2 linked regions of the Coturnix japonica genome follow. The protein of the gene in region 1 purifies or fractionates together with the protein of each later gene. This does not show direct contact. Links are inferred from orthologs where the notes say so. Each region holds a gene or a part of one and is shown in the gene's direction. Other genes may lie near its edges.

Evidence for each region.
Region 2: the proteins of NCKIPSD (region 1) and GEMIN2 purify together in Homo sapiens (co-immunoprecipitation; 3 studies listed by BioGRID and IntAct, counting the BioPlex papers as one, with this or other methods). This does not show direct contact. The link is inferred for Coturnix japonica from reciprocal best matches to the Homo sapiens genes NCKIPSD and GEMIN2.

Annotation. Positions count from the first base shown.
Region 1 is NC_029527.1:6,654,179-6,659,761, forward strand, and holds the start of NCKIPSD (NCK-interacting protein with SH3 domain), read left to right. Parts: upstream 1-2,215; 5' UTR 2,216-2,286; coding exon 2,287-2,457; intron 2,458-3,639; exon of another isoform or gene 3,640-3,654; coding exon of another isoform or gene 3,655-3,675; intron 3,676-5,583. UniProt on the Homo sapiens protein: Has an important role in stress fiber formation induced by active diaphanous protein homolog 1 (DRF1). Induces microspike formation, in vivo. In vitro, stimulates N-WASP-induced ARP2/3 complex activation in the absence of CDC42.
Region 2 is NC_029520.1:34,101,357-34,107,182, forward strand, and holds the start of GEMIN2 (gem-associated protein 2), read left to right. Parts: upstream 1-2,166; 5' UTR 2,167-2,181; coding exon 2,182-2,420; intron 2,421-2,663; coding exon 2,664-2,748; intron 2,749-3,529; coding exon 3,530-3,619; intron 3,620-4,781; coding exon 4,782-4,841; intron 4,842-5,000; coding exon 5,001-5,111; intron 5,112-5,543; coding exon 5,544-5,588; intron 5,589-5,826. UniProt on the Homo sapiens protein: The SMN complex catalyzes the assembly of small nuclear ribonucleoproteins (snRNPs), the building blocks of the spliceosome, and thereby plays an important role in the splicing of cellular pre-mRNAs.

The DNA of each region.
Region 1 (5,583 bases):
GCAGTCGCTTTACAGGACCAAGGTCAGGCTGTTGGAAGGCGCCTCCTGCACCCACGTGTTGATTTAAGCCCTTGGACGTCCTCAAGGGTTAATGTGGGGGCAGCCGGGACAGCGTGTCCCTCCCAATGAAATATTACCCTACAAAGTTCAAGAGCGGGGCTGTTTTCCTTCCATGCAGTTGGAAGGATTGTGTTGGGTTCCTCGGAGCAGTTCCTTGTGTTCGCAGAAAGGAGGTTACGTGAAGTGGGGGCTGCTGTGGGACTCTGAGCACGGGGCTGTGGGACTCCCTGCAGCACCCAGACGTGGTTTCTAACAGAGCTGGGCTGCAGTTTACGTGACCAGTGGTGACAAAGCGAGGGGATGGAGCTCCTTCCCTGAATTGTATGGAAATGAGGGTGTGCCCGTGGCCTCCCCAGCTCATGGCATGCACAGCCCGTGTCACACAGCACGCCAAGCACCCGCTGTGTGCTGCCCCCAGCCGTGCCCCCCACCAGATCCCCATAGGCCTCATCCCACAGCCGCTTCCCCTCCTTGGGCACAGCTCCACGGGGCTGTTGTTCTTCCACGCAGAGCTGGCCGTGAGGTTCCCCCCCACCCTTCTGTCTGGGCCGTTTCTAGGAACTGCAGCTGTTGACAGCAGCTGGATGTTCCTTCCTTGCTCCAAAGGAGGGGCCCTGGGCCTGGGCCAAGCCGTCCATAGGCACCATGCACGCCTTGCACTAGGCTGAGCCCAGCCTGCAGCTCAGCTCTGCTGCCTCAACCCACTGCTGAGGGAGCTGAAGGCCGTACCACCCTGGATCAGGGTGTGCAATGATGCTGGGATATTGGGATAGCACAGAGGCACCATGCTGCACCCCTACACCCACGCTGTGGCCTTGCCTACTGCTCAGTTCCGGAGCCCCTCTGACTTTTTGCCTCGAGAGAGCTCTGTACTGCACAATAATATTTGCACGCCTAAAAGTAGCAGGATCGATCGCAGTGCTGTTTTGCAACCTGTTGACGAGCGGGCAGTGTGGGATTATATAAGTGTACACAGCGCTGGCACCGCTGTGCCTCGATCATATGAGCACTATTGTGTAACGCTTCCTATCGCTGCCATCGCACCGAGTGGCCCCACTGCAGCCCCACACCACGAGGGCTCCAAGAGATGGTGATGGTCTCCATGGGGGCTGGATGTGCAGAGACGCAGCACACCCAGCAGGGAAATGGGCTCGTTGCCTTCCAACCCTGAAGCGTGGGGCTGTGGTGTTGGGTTTTGGGGGCAATGGATGGAGGCACCGTTATCTGAGGTCTGAAGTTCGCCTTCAGAAGTCACCCACATATGACGCAGTTTCCCCACCCAGGCCAAGATAAATTACCTGCAGCTTGCAATTAACAACCAGCTCCTAATCAGCAGCTGCTCCTGGTGAGCTCTGAGCGCTCATTGCCCCCCACACAGCACAGGGGCTCATCCTCACCCTCTGCACTGCGGTTTGGCCACCATCACCATCACCATCACCCCACTCCTGCTCCAGCTGCTCATACCATGTAGGTTATTTCATTCCTACCTGGGGCAGAAGTAGACCTGGCCACCTTAACTCACTCCCTACAGCCCCTTGGCTTTGTGGCACAGGGTCTGTGTGCTGACAGCTCCATCCTGCGCCCAACACACAGTGCTCTGTGCTCTGCATGATGGTGGCAGTGCCATGCGGGACACGGAGCCCTGCAGGACACACTCAGAAAACACATCTGACGTTGTACAGAGCGAGGAAACCTCACCCTGGGACACGAATTAATCTCTGCGGAAACACAGCCCCAGTTCTGTTCCAAGCCCCGATCTCTCCCCATTCATTCTGTTCCCTGCGCTGGCACCAGCCCATTCCCACCCCTGGCACCAGCTCCTGCAGCACAGCGGGGACAGGGATGTACGTCCTATGCGATCACAGCCCTGCCCTATAGGCGAGGTGCTGCTTCAATAACCCCCCAACCTCAGAGCAGAGCATGGCTCACTCTTCAGCCCCGCAATAGGACACTTGTGGCTGCCAAGAAGGAGCAGAGCACGGCGAGGCATTGCTACCATGTATGTGCGGGGCATTGCTGCCATGTGCGGGGCATTGCTGCCCTCTGCTGAGCAGGATCACCCTGAGCTCAGCCCCAACAGCAGCACTTCCCCTCCGCACCACCAGGGTGCCCTGCAAACAGGGACACGTCGAGGGGTGGTCCCGCTGGTGGGCGTGGGGAGGGGCGTGTCGCCGCGGTGACGCACGGGGGCTCGGTCCGGCTGCTCGGAGCGGAGCGGTGGGAGCCATGTACCGGGCCCTGTACAGCTTCCGATCGGCTGAGCCCAACTCGCTGCCGTTCACCGCCGGGGAGACCTTCCTGCTGCTGGAGCGCAGCAACCAGCATTGGTGGCTCGTCACCAGGGCCGGCTCCGGGGAGACGGGATACGCGCCGGCCTCGTACCTACAGCGGCTGCAGGTGGGAGGGGGCGGCGGGGGTGGGGGGAGGGAGGGAGGACCGTGTGGGTGCTGCTATCCCTCCTGCAGCCCCCATTCCATTTCCCATCGGTGTGACATGCCGTGTTCACCATACTAATAGCAGCCTTCTCCCTGCAGCTCTCTGGAGCAGCCCTCCCACACCGCCCCGCCGTGCTCGTGCTTTCCAAACCTTGCTTTGAACTTATGTTTGTTATTCATGTTATGTTCTGCTGTAGCCCCCCCAAGTGCTCGGAGGTCGCTCGCCATCTGTTCTGGGTGACCCTGATGGTCTGTTGGTTGCCCACTGACCCCGAGGTAGAGCTGCTCGTGACCCTGTGACGTTCAGTTCAGCTGCAGCTTCCCCAGTACTTGTGGAGCTGGTGGCAGGAAGCAGATGAGCCTTTCCTGCAGCCTCTCATCTTCATTTGGCGGTGAAGTTTCTGGAGCCAGAGCTCTCCTAGTGGTGCATGAGGCAGCAGGACTCAAAACGCTGCCCTGCAGCTGTGTTAGTGCCCCATCTGTGTGATTCTAATGAGCTGAAGCCAACCTGCATGGCAGTGGGGCCCTGTCTGGGTGAGAGCATCCTCTGGCTGAGCTGAGCCATGGCCATTCACTGTGTGTCAGCCTCCTGACCAGCCTCAGCTTTAAAAAAGCACCGTTACCAATTAGTAACGGTCCTGTGCAAGGCAAATAGTTCCACCCCAATCACGACAGGGAAAACGAAGCTCCTGATTAGCAAGGAGAGCGAGTGGCCAACAGGAGTCACCATTGTAAAGCGAGGCAGGGCTGTCAGCAGTGCGTCAGGTTCCAGGTGAGTGGCAGCAGCAGCTCTGAGCCCTTGCAGTGATGCTCGGGGAGAGCACAGGGCTGCTTTCCTGGTGCCACCCACTGCTGGGAGCATCAGCTGCCTTCTGATTTGCAGGTTTTCCTGCCTTCAGGCCGTGCTGGCTCAGGCTATGCTCCCCGTTTCAGCAAAGGTGTTAACCTTGCTTGCTGAAGAGGGGAATGGTAGCTCTGAGCTGTTCTGGTGAGGACGTGGACGTAGCTGAGAGCACAGCGAGCACTTTAAGGATGCCTCAGGTTGCTCTTTTTTCTTTCTATCTTTTTTTTTTCCACAGGAACAAACAGGCATGTGATAAAAATAAGACTGCTTCACGCAGCCTAGCAACAACTTAGAGTTCTCCTACAGCATAAGCAAATGCACAGAGGCACAGCACAGGTAATCCTGGTTGGATAGACACAGGGATGGTGTTTCATTCCTCAGCTGAAGAGTAGGGGGGGCTTTGGGAAGGAGTGAACTGTGAGCACCCTTTGCTTGCAGGAAACCCCTTCATTCTGATGCATTTTGTAGTATTGACACATGCTATGGGCAAATGTGGCTGCTTTTCTAGCAGGACAGCAAACAAGTTGGTTCAGCAGCACGTCCTGGAGCTGGTGTTGATATGAGTTGGATTAGAAGGTGAGCAGAGGGCTGTGGCACTGACCATCTCCTGCACTGCTGGGAAGCCACAATCGCCATGTGTCATCAATTCCAGATCTGCCACAGCTTGTAATGGGCGTGAGAGCTTAATCAGAGTGCTTGCACAGATCCTGAATAAGCACTTAGACTAAAAATAAAGTTTTATTTTGGAGAATAAGCAGCTGGTAGTGCTTTGCAGCTGAGGCTGTGCTTCTCAGTGCATGTAAGGAGCTGAAAGAATGAGGCCTTATTCTCTGGGCTGTCACAATAAGACGTGCTATCCTAGCAGAGCTGCTAGTGCTTCCAAATGAAGTTTCATTCTTGAGATTAAATGACAGTCAGGGGAATTAACCATTTCTAATTACTGCAGCTAAATATTGGACGTCTTGGCCAGAAGTTGTGCCTTCTTCCACAGTTCTTAATGATTAAAGTAGAAATATACTAATGGTCTTTAGCATCTGTTTTTACTTGGTCACGTATCTTCTGGGGGTCATGGGGATGTGTCCTTCTCACTCAAGATACTTTGGTTAAAAACTATTAAGTGCTGTTGTAGAAGAAGAGTAACCTCTATGCTTGGTGCAGGCTGCACACCAGGAAAGGCTTTGATGGGAGCAGACAGTATCATAGTCGTTGGTTGACCTAAGAGGATCCCCTGCTAGGTCTGGGACATATTAATTCCTGTGGGGAAAGCCAAATCCCATATAAACGGGTATTTATGTCTCTCAGTAGCTGAAACATTGAAAACAGCTGAATCCCTCTGGTAAGGTCATTAAGAGATCTCTGTGCAACAGAAACAACCCCCTCTTTTTCTTCCTTTACTTATATGCCTCAGATGTATGTAAAAATAAGCAGCATTTTTAAGGGCTATACTCCCTTGTGAAGGGGTTTAAACTTTGTCATTCCCATTCAAGATTACACATGCAGCACGTGAGCTGCCAGTCCAGGCCTTGGAAAGATGATAAATTCCAGCAGGGAGAGTATTTCATAAGGAGAGAAGAGCCAGCAGCCTTCATGTGCAACTGTAGCATTAGATAGTCTATAAGAAAATTAGGCTTATCAGATGCTGATGCCCTTTGTGGTCAAAGCTACAGCCAAAACGTTATAAGCCATGGCTTCTGGCAGAGCTCTGTGTGCAGGTGGGTTAAGAGATAGCAAGCTGGAGCTGCAGCCTGCTCTGTTGCTGAGCCTGTATGTTGAGATTGCTTTGTTGCATCTTGTGCACACATCTGAAGGGAAGGAGCTGCTTTCAAGTCATGCCGTGTGCTGAGGATCACACAGCTGTGCCACGAGGCCTGGTGGAGGTGATTAAATGGGATGCTGGAGGTGCAAGGAGCACATTGGTCCCTGCCCTGCTGCAGAGCAGTGCCAGCATGTCTCCTGGCTTCACACAGAAGATGGTTTAGTTCTATGGAGTGACTCCCACTTGAGGCCCAGGGCCTCACTGGGGAGTGAAGGGAGCATGGCCTCTGGTGTGCAGCAAGTAGCCATGAGCACATCAACCTGCTCCTGGGTTGTTGCCTTTTGTTGTAGCTGGATGGGGTCCTGCATGCTGTGCCTTCCTTCTTCCTGCACAGGCTGCTCAGCTGAAGCTCCTGGGCGTGCAGGTGGTTTGTGAGATGCTGGCTTCTGTGCCCGTGACCTGGAAACGCCAACGTGTGCTGGTACTGG
Region 2 (5,826 bases), on another chromosome or scaffold:
GAAGGGAGACAGGCAGCCCCCGCCCGCGCTCCCTTGGCTGAGCGCCTGCAGCCCCGCACGGAGAACCCCGCGATCGCACCGCCGCTCCCCCGGCTCCGCTCACCCCGCGTCCCGGCCGCCGCCCGCCTCGCTCTGTCTCTCCCCGCGCCGCACGCAGCCGCCCCAGCGCTGCCGACGCAGCCAACATGGCTGATGGGAGAGTCCCCGCCACGTCAAGGGGCACAGAGCGGCGGGCCGGGGCTGGGGGCGGGCTGAGCGCCGCCGCTTCACGCCTCTCCCCGCTGCGACCGGGCCGGGACGCGCCGCGCTCGGGCCGACCGTCCCCTTAGCAGCGGGCAGCGATGGACCCGGCGTGAGACGGCCCGTGCAGCCGCTCTCTGCCTTACCGGCCGACTTACCGGCCGCAGGGGCTCGCGTTTGCTCGTCTGCTTTTTCCCTTTCGACTTTGAGCTTTCTGCTATAAAGCTCGATCTTCCTCCAGCAGTGGTTGGGAAATGACGGACTGCAGCCACTAGAGGGAGCTTCGCCTCCTGGTGTTTACGTGTTTTCTCAGGCTTCCTGGAGGGGGGGTAGAGGGATAGGGGGGAAAAAGGTTAATATAATATTTGTGGTGACTTTCAGCTTGTTTTATCTCACATTTAGAAATAAGGTATAACACATATGTATTTAATATCTTCAGAGAAAGTTTTAGGTAGCACTGAATGTACAATCCAGTTTTTGTCTTTGTTGTTGTTGCTTTTCTGGGTTCTATACCATGACTATCCACAGGATTGTTTGCCGGCTCTCTTTAGTCTACAAACATGAGTAGCCAAACAAAAGCACATCTGGAAGAGAGGGTTTTAATACTCACTGCCCTTGATTCCCAATGCCAGCTGTGGGAGTATCCAGCTGGATGGTGCCGAGGACATGGCATGTATGGTATTTCTCATGAGTTGTTAGCACAGTTAAATGCCATTACATAAGAACCAAGAGAAGCAAAGAGAGGCAATAACAGCAACACTGTCGACGTGTCAGATGTTCTTAGGCAGCAGTGCATGGCCGCAGGTAGCAGCTCACCTTTTATGTGGAAAATAATGGCTACGCAGCTGAGAAACAGCTATGATACTCTGCTCCAGGTGCTTATTCCTCTTCTTCCACTGAATTCCATTGACCAGCTGTTGCATCGACATCGCTGCTAAAATCCGTGATAGTTTTGTTGTTAGATTGCCTGCAATCGTTTTGCAAAGTTACTTGGATTAAATGGTATCAATCAGAAGTTCCAGCAAATAATATGTACAGAAAATATATTAAAAAACAAACCAAACCCAAACATTTGTATTTCTGGCATCTCTTTCCGTTCAAAGACCTTGACTCCGTGACAGATAGAAAAATATAACTTCAGAATATGACCAAAGCTTTAGAAGAGGACTCCTCAGTTTTACTCACCGTTGTTTTTGCTTGGACTGTTGGTCAGCGGGGCCATTGCTGTGGCTTTGGGCTCGCTGGACTTATGTCCAGCAATGACTGCAGCTGTTGCACTCAAGCAGGATGTGAAATCCGGGCTCCCTGTTACACGTAAGTGGATTTAGAAACACCTTAAAGCAAACAAAAGGTCAGCGGAGAGGAGGAGTTAAGGCTGATGTTTGTTTGGAACTGCTAACCTACAGTCTTATGGGAAAATAAAGGACAAAACCGAGGTCAATGTAAGAGGCTGTTCTGCTGTATGGGCTGCATTTAGCACACTGATGACATGCTGTACTAAGAAACAACAATACACAGGAGTTTAATAAGGGACAATTTACACTATTTCAGTAAGTACAGCATTGTCCCTCTGTGTTTTACCTGAGAAGTAACCCACCTCAGTGCTACTGCTGCTTTGATTTGGGATAAACCCATCCAGAAACAAAATGAAACCTCAGCCAAACGCTTCCAGGACTACACCTGGATTTACAGCAGTGACCTTTTAGGCAATTAATTTGCACTGTAGGTCTCTAGACGTGACAAGGAAGGGATAAGAATTATTACTGCCCTTCCACGGGCGGAATAGACAGTATGGGTGAGTTGTGAAGAGCTACTTGCGAAAGCTAAGGTAGGTAATGACGCGGGGCCTAAATGTGGTTATCAGAGGTGCCGTCCAGCTCAGTAACGGGGTTATCGCTGTGGCCGGTTCCCCGGCAGGACGGCACAGTGCACAGCCCCGCAATGGCCGTAACGCCCGGGCACGGCGGCGGCGCTCCGCCTGCGCGAGGAACGTCTCTCGCGAGAGCAGCCGGGCCGGCGGCCGGCGGGGAGAGGCGGGTCGGCCGTGTCGGCGGGGCGATGGAGGCGGCCGTGGAGGAGCTGATGCCGCGGCTGCTGCCCGTGGAGGACTGCGACCTGCCCGACGACTTCGACCCCAGCGTGCCGCCCCGCACGCCGCAGGAGTACCTGAGGCGCGTCCAGTGAGTGGAGGGACGGGGGTTGGCGGCGGGCCGGTCGGGCCTCACTTCAAGGCAGTTTAGGAGCATGCAAACATAAGTGCAGTTGTTTATAAAGAGTTAATTCTGAAGTCAGACCTTCTGTAACAATTGCCCGTGGAGTCAGTTGGTTTTTGCATAAGTGAAGATTTCTGCAGGTGCCGTATATCAGAGGCATTCGTCCTATAACTGCCCATTGCAATACAGTGGTTTGGTTTTATTTTGTAGGATCGAAGCAGCGCGATGCCCAGATGTGGTCGTGGCACAAATAGACCCCAAGAAACTGAGAAAGAAGCAGACAGTAAATATTGCAGTAAGTTTGGGCTGCTCTATTCCTTTTGCTATAAGAAACAAGCAGCAGGAAAGATAGGGAGGTCATAAGCATAACTGAAACAGCAGCTTTGCTGGATCTTAAAGCTCCTAATGAAATAAATAAAACTTTAGGGTTCGAAGAAATACCTGTTGAGTTTCTGGGCAATAAGGAGTCTTTGTAGCTGATCAGTGTAAATCAGCCATAGCCCTACTAACTGACACACAGCAGACTTCTTTTTGCCTGAAGGAATCAAATGCTGAGCCAAATTCTACAAGTCTATCTTAAAGCATGTGTGAGCTTTAGAAGAAAGCAATATCTGTATCTAGATTCAAAGACCCTGAAGATCATATATAGATGTATGTAAGGCAGTAAGAGCAGTAAGTACAGCTAACGTAAGATGAAATGTTAGCACCATTTCTTCACTTGTTGATGGAATTTCTTATTGGGATTTCCCCTCTGTTAATAAAAAGGAGCACTCTCCTTTTTATTCACAGGGAAGTTAAAGCAGAATAGGTGCTAAAAACATGACCTTAAATGATTCTTCAACAGCACATTCTGTGTGTTTAATTTTCCTTCTTTGCATACATGCACCATCAAGCAGGATGAATTTTGTCCAGACTAACTGTTAAATCAGTTGTCAGGAAATTGCCTTTCTTAAAGCGAGTACTTGTATTTTTATCTGCTGGCAGTCTGTCGTTGTTGTTTACTACTTCTCTTGTTCTTTAAGGATTATTTTTATAAAGCTTTTTATACATTATAATTATTGCCAGTGTTTTCTTAGATTTCTGGCTGTCAGCCTGCTCCGGAAGGATACTCTCCAACACTCAAGTGGCAGCAGCAGCAAGTGGCCAATTTCTCATCTGTTCGTCAGGTAGAAAATTCTGTGTGTGATGGAGACTGGAGGGATGCTTTAAACTTGCACATCTGTGCTTTAGGGGGGACAACCTTCTATCTTTCCTGCCATAAAGCCATGACATTTTGATCAGATGTTGCTAGTCAACTGCTTTAATTTCTTAATAAAAATAGAAAAATAAAATGTGAATATACTGTGAGGCTTTTAAACTTCTGATGAAACTCATTCCTGAGAGTCAACTCTTTGAAAAGGTAGATAATGGCAGGACAAGGGGAAATGGTTTTAAGTTAGAGGGAAGATTTAGGTTGGATGTGAGGGGGAAGTTCTTTACTATAAGAGTGGTGAGTGCTAGAACAGGCTGCCCAGAGTGGTTGTGGATGCCCCATCCCTGGAGGTGTTCAAGGCCAGGCTGGATGGGGCCCTGGGCAGCCTGGTCTATTATTAAATGTGGAGGTTGGTGGCACTGCCCGTGGCAGGGAGATTCATGACATTTTGATCAGATTCATGATTGGAGATTCATGATCCTTGAGGTCCCTTCCAACCCAGGCCATTCTGTGGTCCTGTTAAAGCAAAAATATCTGGCAGTATTTACACTGAATGATACATAGCACTCCATGAAGGACAGAAATCACTGTGATGTTACACAGTGACACTAAAATCAACAGTGTTCTACGTTGTTCTGTAGAACTATAGAACAAGTAGATTCCAACCTCACCATGAGCTTCATATATGTAAAACACTGTCCATTTAGAGTCCTATGGGCACTAGTGGGAGCCATTATGTTCAGAAATACCGATCTGCTAAAATGGATTTGCAGTGCGGAGGTAGTGTTAGCACAGACTTTCCTACCACATTTGTATCTTGCTTTGACAGAAAAGAATTGAAGAACTGAGCAGTCTCTCTCTATACACTGTTCAAACAGGGTGTATATGAAGATTTTAAGACTAGTAAAACTTACTACTTAAAACGTCATGCAGTAGACTTTACAATTCCTTTGACTTTAATATTATTTCCAAAAACCCAGTATAAGAAACAGTTATATTTATACTAAGAGGCTTGATGAATATGTGCTCAGTAATGCCTTTACTGATTTCAAAACATACTTTTTTAAGTGAAGATAAGATTATGGCTAGGATCCAATAACTGTAAAGTTAAAACTGATTTGGCTTTAATTATTCAGAGCCTGAACAAGCACAGAAATCACTGGCGGTCACAGGATTTGGACAGCAATGTTAACATGGTAAGTAGAATTCTTAACAGTTCTGTTTTTTCTAGTCATTACATTTGTGGTTAATTTTGTTTTACAGTGTAATTCAACAACTGGTATTATCATGTCTGTTCTTTGGTGTCTTCAAGATAGCTATATTTCACTGGTTTCAATTATTTTTGTTTAATTTAGCCCAAATTAGAGGATGAAGAAGGTTGGAAGAAGTTCTGCCTGGGTGAAAGAGTATATTCAGAAATAGATGCAGAATCTGACCATGAAAATCTAGGAATTGATTACATAAAGGTGAGTATAAGAGGACTCATTTTCAACTGTTATTTTCACAAATAACTACCAGAAACAACGCTACTGTTTATTATCACGTTGTGCTAAATATAAAGCAAGCTGGCTGATGAGCCCAGTAAGACCCATTTCTCTTCCCTTTTAAGTTGAAATTGAGTGAAGCAGAGAACAAATCTATTAGTTCAGTCAAAAAGTTCGGGGAGTTCCCTCATCTGTTCCCAGCTAAAACACGCTAATTCGCTGCCAGCTGAAGTTTTATCCATAGTCTGGTTTAGTGTTTTGTAAAGTTGCTCCCTGTTTTTGTACATGCTATTCTGTAACAGAATTCAAAATAATTACCAATTACAAATACTAACATTAAATGTTAGTAAGTTCTAACTTAGAAAAAAAAGGTGTTTGTGATGTTTCTGCATTTTCCAACTTGACTTTTTTCAGGTGGGCTTTCCTCCTCTGCTAAGCATTGTAAGCAGAATGAATCAGGTAAGCCTACATCTTAAGCCTTCCTCTTAGAACAGCATAGTGATATTGCAAAAGTCAGTACTTCCTGTGTTCCAGCAGTTGCATAAATCTCAGCTATTTTTCTGTGCTAAGGTGATAGTTTATTTCAGCTGCTATTCAGTGTACACTTACAAGGAAAAAATATTATCTCACCTTTAACTACAGTTATACCAGCAAACATTTACTGTAACTAGATGTAAGTGTATTTTCTCATAATTTC